3 linked regions of the Stegostoma tigrinum genome follow. The protein of the gene in region 1 purifies or fractionates together with the protein of each later gene. This does not show direct contact. Links are inferred from orthologs where the notes say so. Each region holds a gene or a part of one and is shown in the gene's direction. Other genes may lie near its edges.

Region 1 (7,171 bases):
TGCTTTTGTTTTGGTTCGCTCAGTGGGGCTTGAGGAGATTGAGATCTTTTTTTTTCACAGCGAGACAGTTTGAGGGTGAATTAAGTTAATTAGACTCACTGCCTGTTTGTCCAATGTAGTGTTTGTCACAGTTCTTGCAAGGTATTTTGTAGGGGAGTGTGGTTATGGTTTCTGGGCCCGTTTTGTCTGTTTGTTTGGGTTTGTTGCTGAGAAATCGGTGGACTGTGTTCATAGGATACCCATTCTTTTTGAATACGCTGTACAGGTGATTTTCCTCTGCTCTGCGTAGTTCCTCGGTGCTGCAGTGTGTGGTGGCTCGTTGGAATAATGTTCTAATGCAGCTTCGTTTGTGGGTGTTGGGATGGTTGCTCCTGTAGTTCAGTATTTGGTCCGGATGTGTTGTTTTCCTGCAGACGCTGGTTTGAAGTTCCCCATTGGCTGTTCGCTCTACTGTGACATCTAGGAATGGCAGTTTCTTATTGTTTTCCTCCTCTTTTGTGAATGTTACGCCAGTAAGGGTGTTATCCTTTTTTCTGATGAAGGGTCTAGGCCCTAAACGTCAGCTTTGGTGCTCCTGAGATGCTGCTTGGCCTGCTGTGTTCATCCAGCTCCATACTTTGTTATCTTGGATCCTCCAGCATCTGCGGTTCCCATTATCTCTGGTTTGCGATTACAAACTGGTTCAACCGAACGGAGTGTTTCTGTTCTGCAGGACATGTAGCATTGCTGAGCAGCTGCAATTCTGTGACACATGTGGCAAAGTTTCTGACTGGTTACTAAAAATAGTGTGGGGTGTCACTGAACAGGACTTTAAAGGTGACAGGCAACGTGACTAGAAGACAGTGTGCGTGTGATAGTGAGACGGAAAGAGAGAGAGAGGCATGCTCCAGTTCAGGAAGGGCTACTGTAAGCTCTGCTGCAAAAGGAACTGAATCACCGAAGCTCAATGTTGCTGGGGCTCAGGGAAGTCTTTGTCACCCCCTCCAGCCCCCTACACCCCCTCCCTATCTCTGTGCCCCCCTCCAACCCCCTACACCCCCTCCCTATCTCTGTCACCCCCTCCAGCCACTTACACTCCCTCCCTATCTCTGTCACCTCCTCCAGCCTCTACAACACAACCCTCGCCCCCCCCCCCCACCAAACTCCTTATCCCCATGTCCCCCATGGCAAGTCCACACTAACCTGCATATTTTAGCACGGCCAACCCACCCTAACCCGCACATCCCTGGGCACTACGAGACAATTTAGCACGGCCAATCCACCCTAACCCGCACATCTCTGGGCACTACGGGACAATTTAGCACGGCCAATCCACCCTAACCCACACATCCCTGGGCACTATGGGACAATTCAGCACGGCCAATCCCACCCTAACCCGCACATCCCTGGGCACTACGGGACAATTTACCACGGCCAAGCCACCCTAACCCGCACATCCCTGGGCACTACGGGACAATTTAGCACGGCCAATCCACCCTAACCCGCACATCCCTGGGCACTACGGGACAATTTAACACGGCCAATCCCACCCTAACCTGCACATCTTTGGACTGTGGGAGGAAACCAGAGCACCCGGAGGAAACCCACACAGACACGGGGAAAATGTGCAAACTCCGCACAGTCAGGAGGGTGTGTTCGAACCCGGGTCCCTGTTGCCATGAGGCAGCAGTGCTAACCACTGAGGAGAAATTGAGCGGTTTAGTTGGATTCTCTCTGGTTTTGAGAGGAATGAAAGGAGGTCTAATTGAGGCGAAACAGACATGAAAGGAGGTTGATAAAGTAGATGTGGAGCAGATGTTTCTCCTTGTGGGGCAGCCTTGAATGAGAGGCCAAGGGTTTAGAATAAGTTTTAAAACAGAGATGAGGAGGACCGTCATCTGACGAAGGAAATCTGTGGGGCTCAGGTACGCAGAGAGCAGTGAATGCTGGAACGCTGAGTAAGTTGAAGGAGGAGATTAGCTTGTTTAACTCAATTTATTGGCAACAGGTTGCAGGGAGCGTGCAGGGCAGTGGTGTTAAGGCCAAGTTGAGATCAGCCATGATTGTGTTGAATGGCAGAACATCCATAAACGGGCTGAACGATCTGCTAGTTACTGTGTTCTAGTGTAAGTAGAGTCAGCTGAAACATTTCCCTGCTCAGTTCAGTTCCAAAAAAATTAATTGGATCACTTTCTGCGGAGGGACATTGGCAGCGCTAAAGGTGGGGTGCAGGGAGCTAGTATTGTCACGCCGGGACGAACGGCCTCGCCTTGTGCTGTGACCAAAGGACGGCCTTTCTGAGAAAAAGTAACTGGTCCAGTCTGCTTTCTCCTTGTATGTTCTTTCCACGTTCAAATTTCGATTGTCGGGAAAAACCCGTGTGGTTCACCAACACCCTTTAGGGAAGGAAACTGCTGTCCTTACCTGGTCTGGCCTACACTGTAGGGCTGGAAGAACACAGCAGGCCAAGCAGCATCTTAGGAGCCTTCCTAGACCCTTCTAGGCTCGAAACATCAGTTTTCCTGCTCCTGAGATGCTGCGCTACCTGCTGAGTTCTTCCAGACCCACAGCAATGTGGTTGACCCTGAAGTACCCAGCTGCTGACCATAATCATAGTCCTTGTGCCGTTTCCCCTGTTCCTGACCCCCTATCCCTTCCCTATTCATGTCCTTATTCAAATGTCTTTTTAAACATTGTACCAGTGTCTGCTTCCATCGCTTCCCCAGCCGTTCATTCCACACACGAACCGTTCTCTGTGTTTTAAACAAAAGGTTGCCCCTCGTGTCCATTTTAAATCTTGCCCCTCTCACCTTAAACCCATGTTCCTCTGCCTTTGGTAACAATGTGTAGGGCTGGAAGAACACAGCAGGTCGAGCAGCATCTTAGAAGCCTTCCTGGACCCTTCTAGGCCCGAAACGTCAGCTTTCCTGCTCCTGAGATGCTGCGCGGCCTGCTGAGTTCTTCCAGCCCCACACTTTGTTATCTCGGATTCTCCAGCATCTGCAGTCCCTGTTATCTCCTCTGCCTTTGGACTCCCCTACCCTCGGCGGGGAAAAGACCTTGGCTATTCACCTTATCTGTGCCCCTCACGATTTTATAAACCTCCAAAAGGCTTATAAGCTCAGCCTCCAGTGAAGAAAGGTCCCAACCTAACCAGGCTATTTTTATACCTCAGGCCTTCCATTCCTGGCAACATCCTGTTGTATCTTTTCTGAACCCTCTCCAGTTTAACAATATCCTTCCTATAACAGGGTGGGCAGCACTGGACGTTGAAACAAAAGCTCGGAATTTCGACACAGCCTGAGGGGCTCGGGAATGCAAATAGAGGAATTAGGAGCAGGATTAAACAGTCAGTCCATCTCCTCGAGCCCCACTGTGCCATTCACAATCGTTTTAGCTGATCTCGTTACTCCAGATTCTCGCCTCTTCCCCCGACAGCTTCCCTCACCCCCATCTCGCTTCAGAAGACTATATCTACCCCGGTCTTAAAAATATTCAAACTCTCGGCTCCCACCGTCATGGAGTTACAGAGTCATTGAAACTCAAAACCTGGTGATGAGCCACTCCCTGTTTGAAGAGAGCGGCCCTGACTTTGAATCGGTGATTCCCCCCTTGTTCTGGATTCCTCCCCAAGAGGAAACATCCTGTCCACAAGCCCTCCCTGTCAAGGCCCCTCGGGATCTTAACGTTCACTCAAGACTGGCAGTGTTTGATGGAGGAAGGGGGGGAAACGGTGTAGAGGGAGCTTTACTCTGTATTTGACCCTGTGCTGGCCCTGATCTGGCAGTGTTGAATGAGGGGGTACAGTGTAGAGGGAGCTTTACTCTGTATCTAACCCCATGCTGTCCCTGGGAGTGTTTGATGGCGAGGGGGAAACAGTGTAGAGGGAGCTTTACTCTGTATCTAACCCCAAGCTGTCCCTGTCCCTGGGAGTGTCTGATGTGGGGGAAACAGTGTAGATGAGGCTTTACTCTGTATCTGACCCTGCGCCGTCCCTGTCCCTGGGAATGTTTGAGGGGGTGGGGGGTGGGTGGACTGTGTCGCTGGGGGGAGGGGGCGGTGAACCTTGCTGTGCATGGTGTTGCGATGGAATGTAAAGAATAGAGGGAAAATAGGCCAGGCCGGAGAACTTTCTGGAGGAGGCTGTGATGGTGAATTCCGAGGAACCAGGAGACCATCAACTGTTGTGCATGAATCAGCGAGTCTATTCTCATTGAGTTAATGTCCCCAAAGGCTATTAGCTGAACACTGCTGAAATAACGCATGACCACACATGCACACACTCTCTCTCTCTGCTCCTAAAAGCCCACTCAAGCTGCCTTCGCTCCTTCATTCATAAAACTTGCAGAAGCTGTCTGAGTAGCTTCTTGTCATTTTTTTCTGTCTCCTCCACCCACCTCTCTCTCTCTCTCTCTCTCTCTCTCTCTGTGCTGCTGAGTTCCCCTCCCATTCGAAGCCTGTAGCAGCTTCTGTCCAGGAGTCATGAGAACCCGGGCTGTAGCTCTCTGGCCTCTTTCGCCCTGCTGCTGATGGAGATGTCTCCTCATGGATTGACAGAGCCCACGAAACTCCGAGGCAACAGACAGTCCAGGAGTCAGCCCTGCCCTGTCCCTGTGGCTGTCAGGCCCTTGCATGGTTGTACACCGCTGTTGCCTGTCATCTCTTGTGTGTGTGTGTGTGTGTGTGTGTTGTCGGACCATGAACCCTGTTTCGATCAGTGCAGAGGGTCTGCATTCTGGACTGTACAAGTCTCCTCGAGAATTCAGCAGAAGTTTTTGCTTTTAATCTGAGCCAGAGGGACCGATCAGTTCACCTGACTCGGGAGGGGAGGGGGGAGGTGTGCAGCGAGCGACAGATTTTAAACATATTGCAAGAAATATTCCTTTCCCCGACACCCACCATTGCCCCAACCACATGCGAAAGCAAGCGTACTCCAGCCCTCGCAGGCCGTCGTGTGTTTGAGCCGTTTGCGAGCTGGCTGGTTCTATTCGTAGGGGAGTTAACAGCAGATCCGAAAGGGGGCTGGGTTCAGACCCAGGAGGAGGCCGGAGCATGAGAGAAGGTTTGCCCTCCCTGGGTGAGTACAGCCATGGATTTACTGCATAGGAATAAATACAGTCACTTACACAACGACAGCGCGTCTGAGGCCGTCCATGGGGAGGCGCTGGTCCCTCCTTCCTCCTCCTCCTCCTCCCTGGCTCCTATACTGCCCCATGATGGGGGGGAGCTGTCCTCAGGGGCGGAGGACAGCCCCACCACCCTGTGCTCCTTCTTCCCGAGGATGGGTAACCTGAAACTCGCGAACCCGGCGAGCCTGCTGCAGTCGAAGGGGTTCCCCGGGGAAGCGACGACGGTGCCAGCCCCGGGCAGCGTGAGGCCTGGTGACTCAGGAGCTGTGCCCATCTTCTCTCCCTCTCGGCAGGACATGAACAGGCTGGGCTGCGGAGGAGGAGGAGGTGGAGGAGGAGGTAAGAAGACACGGGTGGAGGGCGGCCAGCTGGGAGGAGATGAGTGGACCCGGCACGGTAGCTTTGTGAACAAACCCAGCCGTGGCTGGCTTCACCCAGACGACAAGGTGATGGGGCCTGGCGTCTCCTACCTCATACGGGTGAGTGCCTCTGAGACTCTTCTGTGTAATACCATTCCCTCCCTCCCTCCCCAAACCCTCTGCAGCGTCTCAACTGCCCCCCTCCAGCTTCTCCTACATTGCCTGCTGTACTTCAGTTGCCCCTGCACCCCCTCCCACGTAACACCCCACTGCCTCCTCGTCTGCACCCCCTTCCCGATTTCCCCCCACTGCCTCCTCGTCTGCACCCCCTCCCACTTACACCGCACTGCCTCGTCGTCGGCACCCCCTCCCGATTTCCCCCGACTGCCTCCTCGTCTGTACACCCTCTCAATTGCCCCCCATTGACCTCCCGTCTGCACCCTCTCTCAATTACCCCCCACTGCCCCCGCGGCTGCACTCTCTCTCAATTACACACCCGCCCCCTCGGCTGCACCCTCTCTCAACTACCCCCCACTGCCCCTTCGGCTGCACTCTCTCTCAATTACACACCCGCCCCCCTCGGCTGCACCCTCTCTCAATTACCCCGCTGCCCCCTCGGCTGCAACCCCTCTCAATTGTCCCCCACTGACCTCCCGTCTGCACCCTCTCTCAATTAACCCCCACTGACCCCTTGGCTGCACCCCCTCTCAATTACCCCCCGCTGCCCCCTCGGCTGCAACCCCTCTCAATTGTCCCCCACTGACCTCCCGTCTGCACCCTCTCTCAATTAACCCCCACTGACCCCTCGGCTGCACCCCCTCTCAATTACCCCCCACTGCCCCCTCGGCTGCACCCCCTCTCAATTACCCCCCACTGCCCCCTCGGCTGCACCCTCTCTCAATTTCCCTCCACTGACCCCTTGTCTGCATCCTCTCTCACTTGCCCCCACAGCTTCCTCTTCTGCACCCTTTCTCAAAAGCCCCCCCACTGCCGTCTTGGCTGCACCCTCTCTCAATTGCCCCCCAACTGCCCCCTTGGCTGCACCCTTTCTGCTGGTTCTCCCTTCTTAGCTACACCCTGTTAATGCCTCCCTCCCCCACCGTCTCTCATTTCTTCCCTGCTCCCTTTCAGTCCCAACCCCCGGACCGTAAATGTTTCTCTCCACCCCAGTCATTTCCCCTGCACTAAACTCTGGCCAGTCTGTGGCAACTCACTCTCTGCCTAAATAAGCATGAGCTCTGAACAAACATTCCTGCTGACTGCAGTGCACTGTTTCACAGAACAGTTAGCATCCTGTCTCCTGTTCACACTCTGGATGTGAGCGTCTGCCTTGCCCTCTGTCTCCATGTCGATAATTTCTCTCTCTCTCTGACTCTGTCTGTCTCTCTCTCTCTCACTCTGTCTGTCACTCTCTCTCTCATTCTGTCTGTCTCTCTCTCACTCTGATCTGTTGTCTCAGCCTGTTTGTCTTCTTCTATCTCTTGCTGCCTCTCTCTCTCTTTCTCTCACTAGCTTTCTTTCCTCGCTGTCTGTCTCCCCTGCAGTCGCTCCCCTGTCGCTCTCTCACTCTCTGTCTCCCCTGCAGTCAGTCGCTGTCTCACTCTCTGTCTCCCCTGCAGTCTGTCGCTGTCTCGCTGCCTGTCTCCCCTGCAGTCTGTCGCTGTCTGTCTCCTCTGCAGACTGTCGCTGTCACACTCTTTCTCC
Region 2 (7,786 bases), on another chromosome or scaffold:
TGGATGACACCAAGAAATGTGAAGACGAAGGCCAATGAGGAATATCCAAGACCATCCTCGAAGAAGGAAATGCTACGCTTTCGGAACTGAGCGGATTCTACAGGAAATCTCCACCAAATTTCAGTAGCATGGTGGTACCGCTGAGGAGTTTGTTAAAGGAGAAGATGAAATTTCGGTGGACAGAACAAGGACAGGAGGCATTTGAGAATTTAAAAGCTACGTTAGCTACCACACTAGTTTTAGCCGCACCAAATTTCTTCAAAGCCTTTAAAGTCACCATCAACACAAACAATGTAAGCGTCGGAGATGTGTTGTTCCAGGAGGATGATTGTGGAATTGAAAGGCCAATCAGTTATTGTTCAAAGAAACTCAATATCCACCAGAGAAAATACTTAGCCATTTAAAAATAGTTATTGGCATTACAACATTTTCATGTTTACATTGCAAACAATGTCTTGGAGACAGTCGTGTACTCTGACCACAACAATTTGACATTTTTGGTGAGATTTAAGGGCCAGAACACTAGCCTATTTTGTTTAGCCTTATGATACAAGCATTTAATTTACATATTGTACAAGTTACAGGTCGTGAAAATGTTACTGCGGAAGCGTTATTTTGGGTTTAAAAGAAAAATGTGTATAAGATAGAAACGTTAGTGTTCAATGTTATGTATGTATACAGAATTAGTATGAAAAGTGTAACACAGGATTAATGAGCTATGGATAGAGTAATAGTGGTGTTAAGGTTTAGATAAAAAAGAAGAAAGAATGAAGCCATTTTTCATTATGATTGTTCATTTTTTTCTGAGGGGGATGTGTTGCAAAATTGGGCATACTATTGATGGATTAAAAGGCAGGATGTTAGATTTTTTTAAGTTTGTAAATTGATAAGAGGGAAAAGTGCATATTCCTTTAAAAATAGATGTGTGTTTTTCCTAGGCTTGGAGATTTTAAAAGTCTGCAAGCAGCACAGCTGCACAGAGAGTTCCTGAAGGGAAACATTTGTATTGAGGGGGTATATTGTGGGTATATCTGCAGGAAAAGCAGCATCTTTTACTAATCAACAGGCTTTGAAATTTATCCAATTAATTTAAACTAGGCCCCAATCTAATGGTTTTGACAACCTTGGACCAATTTTATTATAAGAAATTAACAGGTCATCAGAAGTATAAAAGAAGAGGGTATTTGAAAATCAGGGTAAGAGCAACTGCCATCTAAGAGAAATAACAACCCATAAGCTCTAAAGAGAAACACTGGCTCTCATGGAATTCTATCAGCTCTCAGAAAAAAAACCCATCATCTAATTAAAGGTACAGTAGCATTTTACCAGAATTTGACAGCGAAAGGCATTCCTGGTGGAGAATCAGTTCAGAGGGTGTGGAGCATCTGGAAGGTGTATCCTGGCTGTAAATTTGAGAGATTAAGCTTTAATTGTTTTTATTAATTTGGTTTCTAAGTGGGACATGTATCAATTAGAGCAGCTTACCATTAGAATTTTGTCTTATTTGGGAATAGTTTGTAGTTAAGGGGTGAATTGTTCAATTTGTTAGTAGTTCTGTTAATTTGTTAACTGTTGGAGTTAGATAAATTGTTACTTGTTGATTGTGAGTGAATGTCGGAAGTTCATCTTACTTTCACCTCTCCTTTATGACAGATTGGGAGGTGAGAGGCAGGTTATACTAATTTTCGCATTTCGTTTAACAGATTATGAAGTGAGGCAAGCTTCTCTGAGGTTTTGGTTTTAATTATCAGAGGGGTTTGACCACTCCTTCATAACAATAGCACTCTGCATAATTCTCGTCATCCTGCTATAGGAAGAATATTATTAAACTTGAGAGGTGTAAAATAGATTTACAAGGATATTACCAAGTCTGGAGGGTTTGATCTATAGGGAGAGGCTGAATAGGCTGGGGCTATTTTCAATGGAGTGTAGAAGGCTGATAGATGACTTATAGAGGTTTATAATATCATGAGAGTCATTGATAAGGTAAATAGGCCAAGTCTTTTCCCCAAGGTTTGGGAGTCCAAAACCAGAGGGCAGAAGTTTAAGGTGAGAGGGGAAAGACGCAGAAGGGACCTTGAGGGGCAGCTTTTTCACACAGAGGGTGGTACATATATAGAATGAGCTGCTAGAGGGAGTGGTAGAGGCAAGTACAGTTACAACATTTTTAAAAAGACCTTTGGACAGGTACATGAATAGGGGAGGTTTAGAGGGCAATGTGGCCAAACACAGACAAACGGGAACAAAACCAGAAGTTGCAGGAAAAGCTCAGCAGGTCTGGCAGCATCTGTGAAGAGAAATCAGAGATAATGTTTCAGGTCTTGTGACCCTTTCTTAGAACTCAGTTCTAAGGAAGTGTCATGGGACCAAAAACATTAACTCTGATTTTCTCTTCGCAGATGCTGCCAGACCTGCTGAGCTTTTCCTGCAACTTCTGGTTTTGTTCCTGATTTACAGCATCTGCAGTTCTTTTGGTTTTTATTTATATAGACAAATGGAACTAGTTCAGTTTCGGAAACACGGTTGGTAAGGACTAGTGAGGCTGAAGGGGCAGCGGATTGTCTGACTTACAGAAGGCAGAGGCAAGGGATAAAGGGGTCTTTTCCAGGATGGAAGCTGGTGACTACTGGAGTTCTGCATGGTTTCATGTTGAGATCACAGAATCACATCATATGTTAATCATCTGAACAAAGGAGCTGAGGGCATTGTTGTTATATTTGCAGATGACACAAAGATGGGTGGAAGGATAGGTAGTGCTGAGGAATCAGGGAGGATGCAAAAGTACTTGGATAAGCTAGTGTTGAAAGAATTGGCAGATGGAATACAATGTGGGAAAATGTAATTGTGCACTTTGGAAGGAAGAATAGAGGCATTGACTATTTCCTAAATATGGAAAGGCTTTTGGAAATCTGAGACAGAAAGACTTGGAAGTCCTCGTTCAGGATTCTCTTTAAGAGTTAATATGTGGGTTCACTTGGCAGTGGGGAGGGCAAATGCAATGTGAACATTCATTTCCAGAGGGCTAGAATACAAGAGCAAGAGATGTACTGCCGAGGCTGTATCGGGTTCAGGCCAGACTGCATTTGGAATATTGTGGGCAGTTTCCTTCCTCGTATCTAAAGGAGGATGTGCTGATGTTGGAGGTGGTACAAAAAAGGTTTACAATAATGATCCCAATAATGAAGGGCTTGTCATAATGAGGAGTGGTTGAGGACTCTGGGCCTGTACTTGATTGAATTTAGAAAATCGAGGGGGGATCTGATTGGTAATGAGGCCTGGATACAGTAATTGCGAAAAACATGCTTCCACTTTTAGGAGACATTAGGAACCCAGGACACAGTCTCAGCATGTAGGGGCATCTAGAGCTGAGATGAGATGGAACTCTTCAGTCAAATGGTTGTTAATCTGCAGCAATCATTGCCACACAGGGATGTGGAGGCCAAGTCATCGAGCATATCTAAGACAAAGATAGATAAATTCTTGATTGGTAAGGGATCAAGGGTTACGGGGAGAAACCAGGAGAATGGGGTTGAGGAGCATATCAGCCATGATTACTTGGTAGAACAACCTTGATGGGCCGTATGGCCTAATATATGGTCTAAAAACAAATCATTATTATTTCTGAATTCCTCCATGGTATTGTCCCTCCATCTCTCCTGGGTCCTCAATTCTGTTGCTTGAACATCCTAATTTTAATTGATCCACCTGGTAGCTTTGCTATCAGCTCTGTCCAGGCTGCATAATGTGGATTTGCCTTAGTCCAACATATCTACATATTCGCATGACCGCCCTATCGATACATTCACAAAAAGAAACAAACTATTTCATTAATTTTGATGTGAATGCTATGTAATTAACCTAGGGATATTCACCAGGATGATGCCTTGGATAGAGCACTTCAGCTATGAAGGAAGGCTGGATAAGTTCAGGCTATTTTATTTGGAGTAGTGAAAGTTGACGAGTCTGTATCTGGGTGTATAAGACCATGAAGGATATGGAGAGGGTGGACAGAGAGAAAGTATCAAGTGGAATTAAGAACAAGGCACCATAATTTTAAAGTGAAAAGCCAAAAGGCTCACAACCTTTAAAAAAGTAGTTTAATGAACAACTGAAGTGTCATAACATAGAAGGCTGTGGGCCTACTGCTTGATTACGGGACTAGTATAGGTACTAGCATATTTTGACAGTACAGACTCAATGGACCAAAGCACCTCATCGATACTGTGTGATTCTATGAATCAGTGCCCTAAACTTCTCCACCACCCCTCAGTCCTCAGGCCCTACGGCCCTACCTGAGTATCAAACTAATGTCTTTCAGTGCTTCAGTACCAAAATCTTTGTTTGGTAATCCTCCCTTGAATCATGTTCAGGTGTTTCAATATAAAATTTTCGTATGATATTGAAGAAAGCTCACTGGACTCGAAACATTGACTTTGTGTTCTTTTCACAGACGCTGGCAGACCTACATAGTTTCTCCAGCAATTTCTTGTTTTTGTTTGTTTCGGATTTCAGCGTCCGCAGTTCTTTGTTTCAATTTTGTTTGATGATCTGCAGCCCCGGGACCACCCCTGGTTGACTGGGTTGCAGGCGCCATGTCGGTGCAATTGGATATTGCTGGACCCTCTAGCACAAGAAGGGAGTCCAACACGACCTCACCAAGATGGCAGACGGCTATTCCCATCGCCACGAGCTGCCCTTCCGAGTGGTGGGGTCAGCGCTCGCCCTCTCTCTCTCTCCACCCGACCTCACTCCAGGGAGTGCGCGTGCGCAGTGGGGCGGTCCCTTTTAGAGAACAAACGCCCTAATCAAAAGTCGGCGGATAGAAATCGGCTAAAAGGGTCGGGCGCAGTTAACGATTCCGCTGTTCTCGCGCGCTATTTTCCAACAGATTTACAGTGAGAGGGGAAAAAAAATATAAGTTTCACAAACAAGAGGCGGCCGATCTGAGAACTGACGCGGGGGGACGGATTTTATGAAGTAAACACGCGTCTGTTTGCCGCCCGGGGACTTTATATTTTCTTTAGTTTAGTGTGTTGTGAAGGGAGGCCTGAGGCCTAGGCGGCGAGTAGGCCGCTGCCGGCACCGCTGGGCAGGCAGAGCGGAGCTGAGAGTAGCCCGGCCCGGGTAGAGCACACTGAGGGACATGGCGGCTAATTTCGACGCCCAGAAGCAAGAGAGTTGGTACTTCGGTCCCATGAGGCGGGACCAAGCCGTGTCTCTGCTGATGGGCCAAAAGCACGGCACTTTCCTGGTGAGGGACAGTCGCACCATCCCAGGGGACTACGTGCTGAGTGTCAGCGAGAACTCGAAGGTGTCGCATTATATCATCAACAGCCGGCAGCAGCAAGGCCCAGGCCCCGGGCCCGGGCGCTACCGCATTGGCGACCAGGAGTTCGAGAATTTGCACGGCCTGCTGGAGTTCTACAAGATCCATTACCTGGACACCACCACCCTGCTGGAGCCTGTCCACAGGCCCAACGCCGCCTACATCCCCACCAACAGCGTCCCGTCTGAGGAGGCCCACTTTGTCCGCGCCCTCTTCGACTTCCCCGGCAACGACGAGGAGGACCTGCCGTTCCGCAAGGGCGACGTGCTCCGCATCCTGGACAAGCCCGAGGATCAGTGGTGGAACGCGCAGAACAGCGAAGGCCGCTGCGGCATGATCCCCGTGCCTTACGTGGAGAAATGCCGGCCCAGCTCGCTGCTCGGCCCGGCTAACAGCCCGGAGGGCGGCCAGGCGTTAGCGGCCCAGCACCAGCCCTCGCCGGGGGTTGGCGGAGTTGGGCAGCCTGAGTTCGGGCCCTATGCCCAGCCTAGTGTCAGTGCCTCGCTGCCCAACCTCCAGAACGGGCCGGTGTATGCCCGGGCCTTCCAGAAGCGTGTCCCCAATGCCTATGATAAGACGGCCCTGGCTCTGGAGGTAGGTGCCTTGTGGTCCATTCCGTTTCCTCCCCCTTTTCAGCAGTGCTCTGTCAGTCTGGGTATTCGAGTATTGCTGGTCGCTATACTTGGGGAAGGAAGGCAAATATCCGAAGACGGTGAAAAAGTCGATGATAAGTAATGTAAGATTAAGAACTTTCAGCGTTCTGCCCTGGTTTTAAAGAGAAGTCCTATTGGACGTGAAACGTTAACGCCAGATGCTGCTGGGCTTGTTGAATTTTTCTAGCGCTTTGTTTTTTTTTTCAGATTTCTAGCCTCACATTTTGCTTTTATTCTGCTTGAAAATCTGATTTTGATTAGTGTTAAGCTTTTTTATTTGATAACACTCGTGAAACAACTTGGGCTGTTAGGGATACTGTATCAATATTGAGCGCAGTGTTGAAAAGCTGAGATTGTCCTTTTTTTAAAAAAAGAAAGTGAGGGATATGGGGAATCTGGTGCCTTTGCTTATAAAACATTCCAAGGCACGCAATTGTTAGACCTGATTTGACAATGGGTTATGAGATGATATTAGAACAGATGACAATTTTTGTTGGAGGTGAATTTAAATAGGAGCAAATTTAGCAGGGTGGATATCCAAAACACACAGGCCTCAACTGTTGAAGGCACAACCACCAGTAGTGGACCAATTAAAATCAGGAACAAGGGAAATGCCAAGATTGTGAATCTCAGGTTTGTTGAACTCGGGAAGTTTTTAGAATTTAGAAGGCAGTGCTGCTTTGGGCTGAACACACAGATCCGAATTTTAAAATCAAAATGTTGCCTTAACTGGAATGATACTAGGGATGATGATGTGAGGAAAACTGGATTGTTTTCCTTGTGATTTGTGTGCTTACAATCCCAAATGATTTGGATTGAATAGATAAGGATGAAACAGTTTCCTTGTCAGAAAATGTGGAGCTGGAAAAGCACAGCCAGTCAGACAGCATCCCAGGAGTAGGAAAGTCAACGTTTCGGGCAGAGACCCTCCATTAGGATGGGTTTGATGAAGGGCTTCGGTCCAAAATGTTGACTTTCCTGCTCCTTGGATGCTGTCTGACTGTGCTTTTCCAGCTCCACATTTATTGATTCTAGCTTCCAGCACTTGCAGTCGTTACTGTCTCCAATGTCAGAAAGATCTGTAACCAGAGAGCACTAGTTTTATAGAGATCAGAGATAATGGGAACTGCAGTTGCTGGAGAATTCCAAGATAATAAAATGTGAGGCTGGATGAACACAGCAGGCCAAGCAGCATCTCAGGAGCACAAAAGCTGACGTTTCGGGCCTAGACCCTTCATCAGAGAGGGGGATGGGGAGAGGGAACTGGAATAAATAGGGAGAGAGGGGGAGGCGGACCGAAGATGGAGAGTAAAGAAGATAGGTGGGGAGGTAGGGAGGGGATAGGTCAGTCCAGGGAAGACGGACAGGTCAAGGAGGTGGGATGAGGTTAGTAGGTAGATGGGGGTGCGGCTTGGGGTGGGAGGAAGGGATGGGTGAGAGGAAGAACCGGTTAGGGAGGCAGAGACAGGTTGGACTGGTTTTGGGATGCAGTGGGTGGGGGGGCGGAAGAGCTGGGCTGGTTGTGTGGTGCAGTGGGGGGAGGGGACGAACTAGGCTGGTTTAGGGATGCAGTAGGGGAAGGGGAGATTTTGAAACTGGTGAAGTCCACATTGATACCATATGGCTGCAGGGTTCCCAGGCGAAATGAGTTGCTGTTCCTGCAACCTTTGGGTGGCATCATTGTGGCAGTGCAGGAGGCCCATGATGGACATGTCATCTAGAGAATGGGAGGGGGAGTGGAAATGGTTTGCAACTGGGAGGTGCAGTTGTTTGTTGCGAACTGAGCGGAGGTGTTCTGCAAAGCGGT
Region 3 (7,148 bases), on another chromosome or scaffold:
TGCTCAGATAATGAAACTGTAGCACTCTAGCAGCACACAAGAGACCAACATATATACAAGTCAAAACAGGTACAAAGTCTAGGTCTCAGGAATGCCACACTGTCACCAAATCCAAGAAGGATTGTAAAATCACCCATAAGTTTTACATATTCTTAAAATCCCCTACAGTGCAGAAAGAGGCCTTTCAGCCCATCAATATGCACTGACCATCCAAAGAACCTCCCCCCACCCGATCCATGTAACTCTGCATTTACCATGGCTAATCCAACTAGCCTGCACATTCGTAGTCACTATCGGTTCACATGGGCAACCCACCTAACCTGAACATCTTTAGATGGTGGGAGGAAATTAGACCATCCAGAGGAAACCCATGTTGACACAAGGAGAATGAGCAAACGCCACGCAGACAGTCGCCAAATGCTGGAATCAAACCCAGGTCTCTGGTATTATAAGACAGCAGTGCTAACCACTGAGCCACCATGCTGCCCAGAATAGTAAACCTGCAAATCTTTCATTTCTTGTTTCTTTGTAAATAGCTTTGCAACTAATTTATTCATACTTTCATTATTAGTACGTATCTTCTTTCCTTGGAAAGAAAGGGAATACTGTGTTGCTGTTTTAACTGCTGGGTATGCTAAAAACCAAAGGACCATGATGACACCACATGATGAACAGCTGTGAGTCCAAGCAACAGCTTGGCAAAAGGCATCTGATTTGATGAGGCGCTGCGTTAAGATATGACATCCACCTTGTGTTAGGCAATGTCCATCTGAAGTTGAAGAAGCCACAACCACGTTATCATAACAGCCATTTGTAGCAAAGAAACTAAGGAAATGGATATGTCAGAAAGTATCCAGCTGACCTTCTTCAAAAGAACTGAAGCACCATTGAGGTCAGGCAAACTTGAGAAACAGTAGATAATCTTCAAAAGATGGACTAAAGAGAGTGTAGAACCATCATCAGGTGGCAGAGAGGAGCCAACAAAGAATGATGGATCTCTGACCCAAGCTGTAAGTTGCTTGATGAAAGAGCATTAGAGAAGAGCAAGAAAGACCTGGAAATACTATTTGAACAAAAACAAAAATTCAGCAAGAAGTACTGAAAACCAGATGAAGCATAAAACAGGTTCAACGCCGAGGAACAAAATCTCAAACATCAGCACTCTCAACACTGAGCCCCCAAGGATGTGTCCTCAGCCCCCTACCGTACTCTCTGTACACCTACGACTGTGTTGCCAAATTCCAAACAAACACCATCTACAAGTTCGCTGATGACACCACTGTAGTGGGATGGATATCTAAAACGACCAATCAAAATACAGAAGAGAGATAGAGGGTGACATGGTGCAATGAAAACAATCTGTCTCTCAACGTCAGCAAAACTAAAGAACGGATCATCATCTCAGAAAGAAAGGAGGAGATCACGGCTCCATCTACATCAACAGAACTGAGGTTGAGGGAGTGAACTGCATCAAGTTCCTCAGAGTGAGGACAACCGACCTCCCATCCTGGAATTCCACGTAAATGTAACAGTCAGGGAGGCACAACAATGCCTCTTCTTCCTCAGGCAGCTCAGGAAATTTGGCATGTCTATAGGGTCTGTCACCAACTTTTACAGATGCACCATTGAAAGCATTGTCTGGGTGCATAATGGCCTGGTACAGCAACTGCTCTGCACAGGAACTTAAGAAACTACAAAAGGTGGTGTGCATTGCCCAGACCATCATGGAAACCAACTTTCCATCCACGAACTCTATTTACATGACTTGCTGCTGTAGAAAGGCAGCCAACATCATCAAAGACCCATTGCATGCTGGTAATGACCTGCCACAACTTCGTCCAACAGGCAGAAGATATAGAAGCCTGAACGCACCCACAAGCAGATTCAGGAACAGAGATAGTAGGAACTGCATATGCTGGAGAATCTGAGATAACAAGGTGTAGAGCTGGATGAACACAGCAGGCCAAGCAGCATTGGAGGAGCAGTAAGGCTGCTAATGTGGTATACTGCAGCCGCTGTTCCCATTGTGGCCTCCTTTACATTGGCGAAATGAAGCGGAGCCTTGGGGACCGCTTTGCAGAACACCTATGCTCGATTTGCACTAAACAACTGCACCTCCCAGTCGTGAATCATTTCAATTCCCCATCCCATTCCTCAGACAACATGCCCATCCTGGGCCTCCTGCAATGCCACAATGATGCCACCCGAAGGTTGCAGGAACAGCAATTCATATTCCTCTTGGGAACCCTGCAGCCCAATGGTATCAATGTGGACTTCACAAGCTTCAAAATCTCCCCTTCCCCCACCGCATCGGAAAACCAACCCAGCTCGTCCCTGCATCTCTAACCTGTCCTTCCTCTCACCTATCCCCTCCTCCCACCTCAAGTCCCACCCCCGTCTCCTACCTACTAACCTCATCCCGCCCCCTTGACCTGTCTGTCCTCCCTGAACTGACGTATGTTCTCCCTTAACTGACCTATATCCTCCCTACCTCCCCACCTACACTCACCTTTACTGGCTCCATCCCTGCCTCTTTGACCTGTCTGTCTCCTCTCCACCTAGCTTCTCCTCTATCCATCTTCTATCCGCCTCTCCCTGTCTATCTGTTTATTTCAGAACCCCCTTCCCCTCCCCCATTTCTGAAGAAGGGTCTAGGCCCAAAACGTCAGCCTTCCTGCTCCTCTGATGCTGCTTGGCCTGCTGCGTTCATCCAGCTCTACACCTCGTTTTAGACAATAGACAATAGGTGCTGGAGTAGGCCATTTGGCCCTTTGAGCCATCACCACCAATCATTATATTCATGGCTGATCATCCACAATCAGTATCCTGTTCCTGCCTTATCCCCATAACCCTTGATTCCATTATCTTTAAGAGCACTATCTATCTCTTTCTTGAAAGTTTCCAGAGAGTTGGCCTCCACTGCCTTCTGGGGCAGAGCATTCCATATATCCACCACTCTCTGGGTGAAGAAGTTTTTCCTCAACTCTGTTCTAAATGGCCTACCCCTTATTTTTAAACTGTGTCCTTTGGTTCTGGACTCACTCATCAGCGAAAACATGCTTCCTGCCTCCAGAGTGTCCAATCCCTTAATAATCTTATACATCTCAATCAGATCCCCTCTCATCCTTCTAACCGCAAGTGTATACAAGCCCATTCGCTCCAATCTTTCAACATATGATAGTCCCACCATTCCAGGAATTGACCTCGTGAACCTACGCTGCACTCCCTCAATAGCCAGAATGCCCTTCCTCAAATTTGGAGACCAAAACTGCACACAATACTCCAGGTGCAGTCTCACCAGGGCCCTGTATAGCTGCAGAATGACCTCTTTGCTCCTATACTCAGATAGATCTCAGATTCAGGAATAGCTTTGTTTTTGGTCGTTATCGGACTGTTGAATGGACTCCAGCCTCAAAAATGTAATCTGCAATGTAACCTGTATGCCCGTTAGTCTTTTTGATCTGTTTTTCCTATACTTGCTGTGATCTGCTTGTACTGCTCATTAACAAAGCCTTTCATTGTATTTCAGTATATGTGACAATAAAAATCAAATCGTGATCAAAGTCAAAATCAGGAAGAACTGCAGGGGAGATAGAGTGATAGATGGATAGAGTTATGAGATGGGCATCCATTTTAGGATCAAAGAGGAATTTCTTCACTTAGATGATAGTAAATCTTTGGAAATATCTGCTCCAGGAAATTGTGGAATCTCAATCACTGAGTAAGCCTAAGACAGAGATAGATTTTTTCATTCTAATGCCATCAATGGGTGTTGAGATGATGTGGGAAAAATTGATGTAGATGCTTAGCCATGATATTGAGTGATGGTGGAGACTCCATCTGTTGTTTCTATTAACACCAGGTAAGAGACATCTTATAAGGGATAGGAAATCGTATATGTTACTGTGGGCTTAACAGCAGACTAACACTAAATTGACTAGTTCCCCTCTCACTGAAGTATTAGGTCACTGCTGGTAGGAGCCATTCTAATGTTTCTAAGTTAGCTGTTTCAAATCATTTCCCTTTGTTTACTGCAACCATACTGTCCTGGTGCTGCTTCTTTGGGACCATTCTCAGTGAGTGAGTGTGAGTGAATGAATGAATGAATGGGCGTGGACATTCACATGGAGCGGCTCGAGGTCACGTGACCCTCAGTAGACCGTGATGACGTCTAGGTCCTCATCATGTGACCCGCCGGGCAGCCGCGCTGAGGCAGGGCGACGGCGGACATTTTGTGAGGAGCCGGTAGAAACGGCGGGTAGGTGTGTTCGGGTCGGGTTGACAGTGGGCTCAGGCCACAGGTACCGGCTATCCTCCCGTAGCCTGAGGTGTAGAGGCCTCAGTGGCTGCAGACCTTAGAGTTGGCCGGGAAGGAAGCAAGGAGAAAAGAGGAAAGGGGGTGGCGGACATTTTGTGAGGAGCGGCCAGTCCCCACAACACCCACCCCGGGTTTCTTTTTGGGGGTACGGGGGCGGGGAGGAATAAGGATGGTGTTCGTGGGTGCGGTGGAGGAGGAATAACCCCCGACGGCAGTGTGCCGCTTGTGGGGATACCTGGCCTACAGATGCCCTGCACCCTTCCTGGAAGAGGATAGGGCAATGATGAAATATTATAACCCAACTCTCCCTGGTGTGGGTGTTGTACCACCTCAGTTCCAGGAGCGCAATTTGTTACGCTAATTAGCTCTCCTAATTCTGATTCCGAATTTCATGGCTGCATTCAGTACTGCAAGCAGCAATGTCAGAGAGGTGTCCTCCACTGGTAAACCACCACCCCCTCCACCCACCCCCTTGTCTGCTGCAATGGGTGCTCGGGTATCTGGCCATATTTCTCTGACTCCCCAAATCAATCACCTTTGAAAAGGAAAACCACGTTATCTGTTTGTACAGACCTTGCAATTGTGGGATCTGCCTGCCTCTTAAATTGGATTTTGAGTACCGTCCTTTAGATCCAAGTTGTCTGATCTACTCTAATAGCTTGACCTGAGAGGATTTATATTATGAGGCTATCAGCCCACCATATTTGCGTTGGCTTCGCTTCCTTGCTGTGGAAGTCTTATTTGTAGCTTGGTTGGTGAATTCAGTTTATAAATTAGTTTCTGGTTTGTAACAATGCCTTATGTAATTTTGTCTATTTGTGGCTTTGTCATTTGTGAATGATTTTACCTTGAGTGCTTTTTATTTGATTATTAGTTTAGAAATGCCAGAATTAGATTAATTCTGAAATAAGTTATGTAGTGTTATAATGTATGCTTTGTGGATATTTGATAGGCTAGTATTCTAGATCATATTGATCATTGTATTTATGTAAATGTAAAACTTTAGGTTTTCACTACCTACCTTTCCCTTTAGCCCATAAGTTTATTTTCTGTCTGGTCTTTAATAAGTTCTCTTTTAAATGCATGATTAAATATTCTTCTGCCATGTACTCAAGCAGTGCATTCTAAATCTGTTTTTTTTTGGATCTGGTCACTTTAAATCGGTGTCCTTGGGTTCTTCACACTTCTACCAATGGGAACAGTTTCTCCCTATTTGTTCTAAAACCTCTCAATTATCAAACTAACTTTGACTAAGCAGGTTGAAGTCTGCTTGGGGAACAAACTTGACCTCTGTAATTTACATCCTATCAAGCCCTATTAAGCAGAGAGAAGTGCATTCTATAAACTGAAATAAAGCTTACAGTTGAGATGTGGATTTTAATGTATTTATTAATTTAACAAAGTGAACAATGGTTTGGAACCCAAATTAATTTCAATATCTAGGCTGAATGTGATACATAAATGTCAGTACATTTTAAGCTATTTCCTGCCTATACTGTGTCACCGCAATGTCTTGGTGGTGGTTAACTCCATTAGCTGTTGACTTTTGGGGGGGGGGAGTGGAAAATACCTAATAATGTAACTTAGTTCACAGAATTGAATTTCACGTGAACTGGGTCGTGATGAGTGCAGACACTAGAAGCATGGTCATTCTCTTAATGCCTATCCATCTTGTGTTCATCCCACTTGAGATGCCACATTTTGTTGTATGTCCTATATTCTACGCAAAGAAAACCAATCGTTTCCTGTAGCCTGAAATTTAGCTTTTAAATTGAATAAATATATCAGTTGCATTGGGAGTGGACATACTTTATTCGAACATTGCCTTCTAAAGGAAATGCACCTGCTCAGAGCTGAGGTCCTGAACTAAGGTCTGAGCAATACCACAAGAGGCCCATTGTATCTTCCCCTCAAATGGCTGAATATGCTGACTGCTCGGTTTTCAGCTTTTGCAGAGTGCCTTTTTATTAGTTTAATTATGGATTTACATGTAATATGGATTATGTCAATTTGGGTTTTGAACTGTGTATTACCATCATGGAGTCCTTTTCAGGATGACATCAAATAAATTCAGATGCAGTACTGATGCAGTTGAACTGTACCTAAGATCATAGTTTTTTTCCTAATGCTTGTTATTGTCATGAACAGCGCTGCTCAATTTTGTTTTGATCTGGTTATAGAGTGCTAATGTTTTCAGTGTCAAGCAGGTACTGACATCCAAAGTTTAGGGAATAAATCCACATTCCATGGATTTGAATAAACAACACATTTTGTGACTGAAGGTTACAATATCCACAAGTGCCAGATTTCATTATGGAGGATTGCAGAAAAGCGTGATTTTAATGTATGCTGTATCAAGCCCAGTGTGATACTTAAGTCTGTTGACAAGCTGTTGGTCCAGTTAGAAACCATAGAAATGATAGAGCACAGAACAAGTCCGTTCAGCCCAACTTTTCATTCCAACCCAAATGCTGTTTTAAATCCCATCTTGCCTACATAGCTGTAGTTATGCAACTAACAGTACTTAAGATGTAGATGCAGAATACTTTTAGAAAGTGTTTAGAGTCTCTTTGTCACCTCCAACTTGGGCAGCAAACTTCAGACACCTACGACCTGCTGAGTTCTTAAAACATGGTTTTTCCTCCTTTGCATGCTAATTCTTCTGCCATTTATCTTAATCTTTGACTGCTGGTTTTTGAACTCTTCCAAAGGAAGTGAGTCTCTCCTGTCTACTCCATCTCTATCCCTCAATTTTGTATACCTTAATCATATCACTACTGAGCCTCCTTTGTTCCAAGGGAATCAACCCCAATCTCTCCATGCAGCTACA

What was found.
Region 2: the proteins of shc1 (region 1) and crk purify together in Homo sapiens (affinity purification with western blotting; 3 studies listed by BioGRID and IntAct, with this or other methods). This does not show direct contact. The link is inferred for Stegostoma tigrinum from reciprocal best matches to the Homo sapiens genes SHC1 and CRK.
Region 3: the proteins of shc1 (region 1) and AP-2 complex subunit mu purify together in Homo sapiens (affinity purification with mass spectrometry; 3 studies listed by BioGRID and IntAct, with this or other methods). This does not show direct contact. The link is inferred for Stegostoma tigrinum from reciprocal best matches to the Homo sapiens genes SHC1 and AP2M1.

Annotation. Positions count from the first base shown.
Region 1 is NC_081400.1:5,339,114-5,346,284, forward strand, and holds the start of shc1 (SHC-transforming protein 1), read left to right. Parts: upstream 1-4,159; 5' UTR 4,160-5,068; coding exon 5,069-5,587; intron 5,588-7,171. UniProt on the Homo sapiens protein: Signaling adapter that couples activated growth factor receptors to signaling pathways. Participates in a signaling cascade initiated by activated KIT and KITLG/SCF.
Region 2 is NC_081380.1:46,981,512-46,989,297, reverse strand, and holds the start of crk (adapter molecule crk), read left to right. Parts: upstream 1-4,783; 5' UTR 4,784-5,143; coding exon 5,144-5,920; intron 5,921-7,786. UniProt on the Homo sapiens protein: Involved in cell branching and adhesion mediated by BCAR1-CRK-RAPGEF1 signaling and activation of RAP1.
Region 3 is NC_081367.1:59,678,224-59,685,371, forward strand, and holds the start of AP-2 complex subunit mu, read left to right. Parts: upstream 1-4,145; 5' UTR 4,146-4,258; intron 4,259-7,148.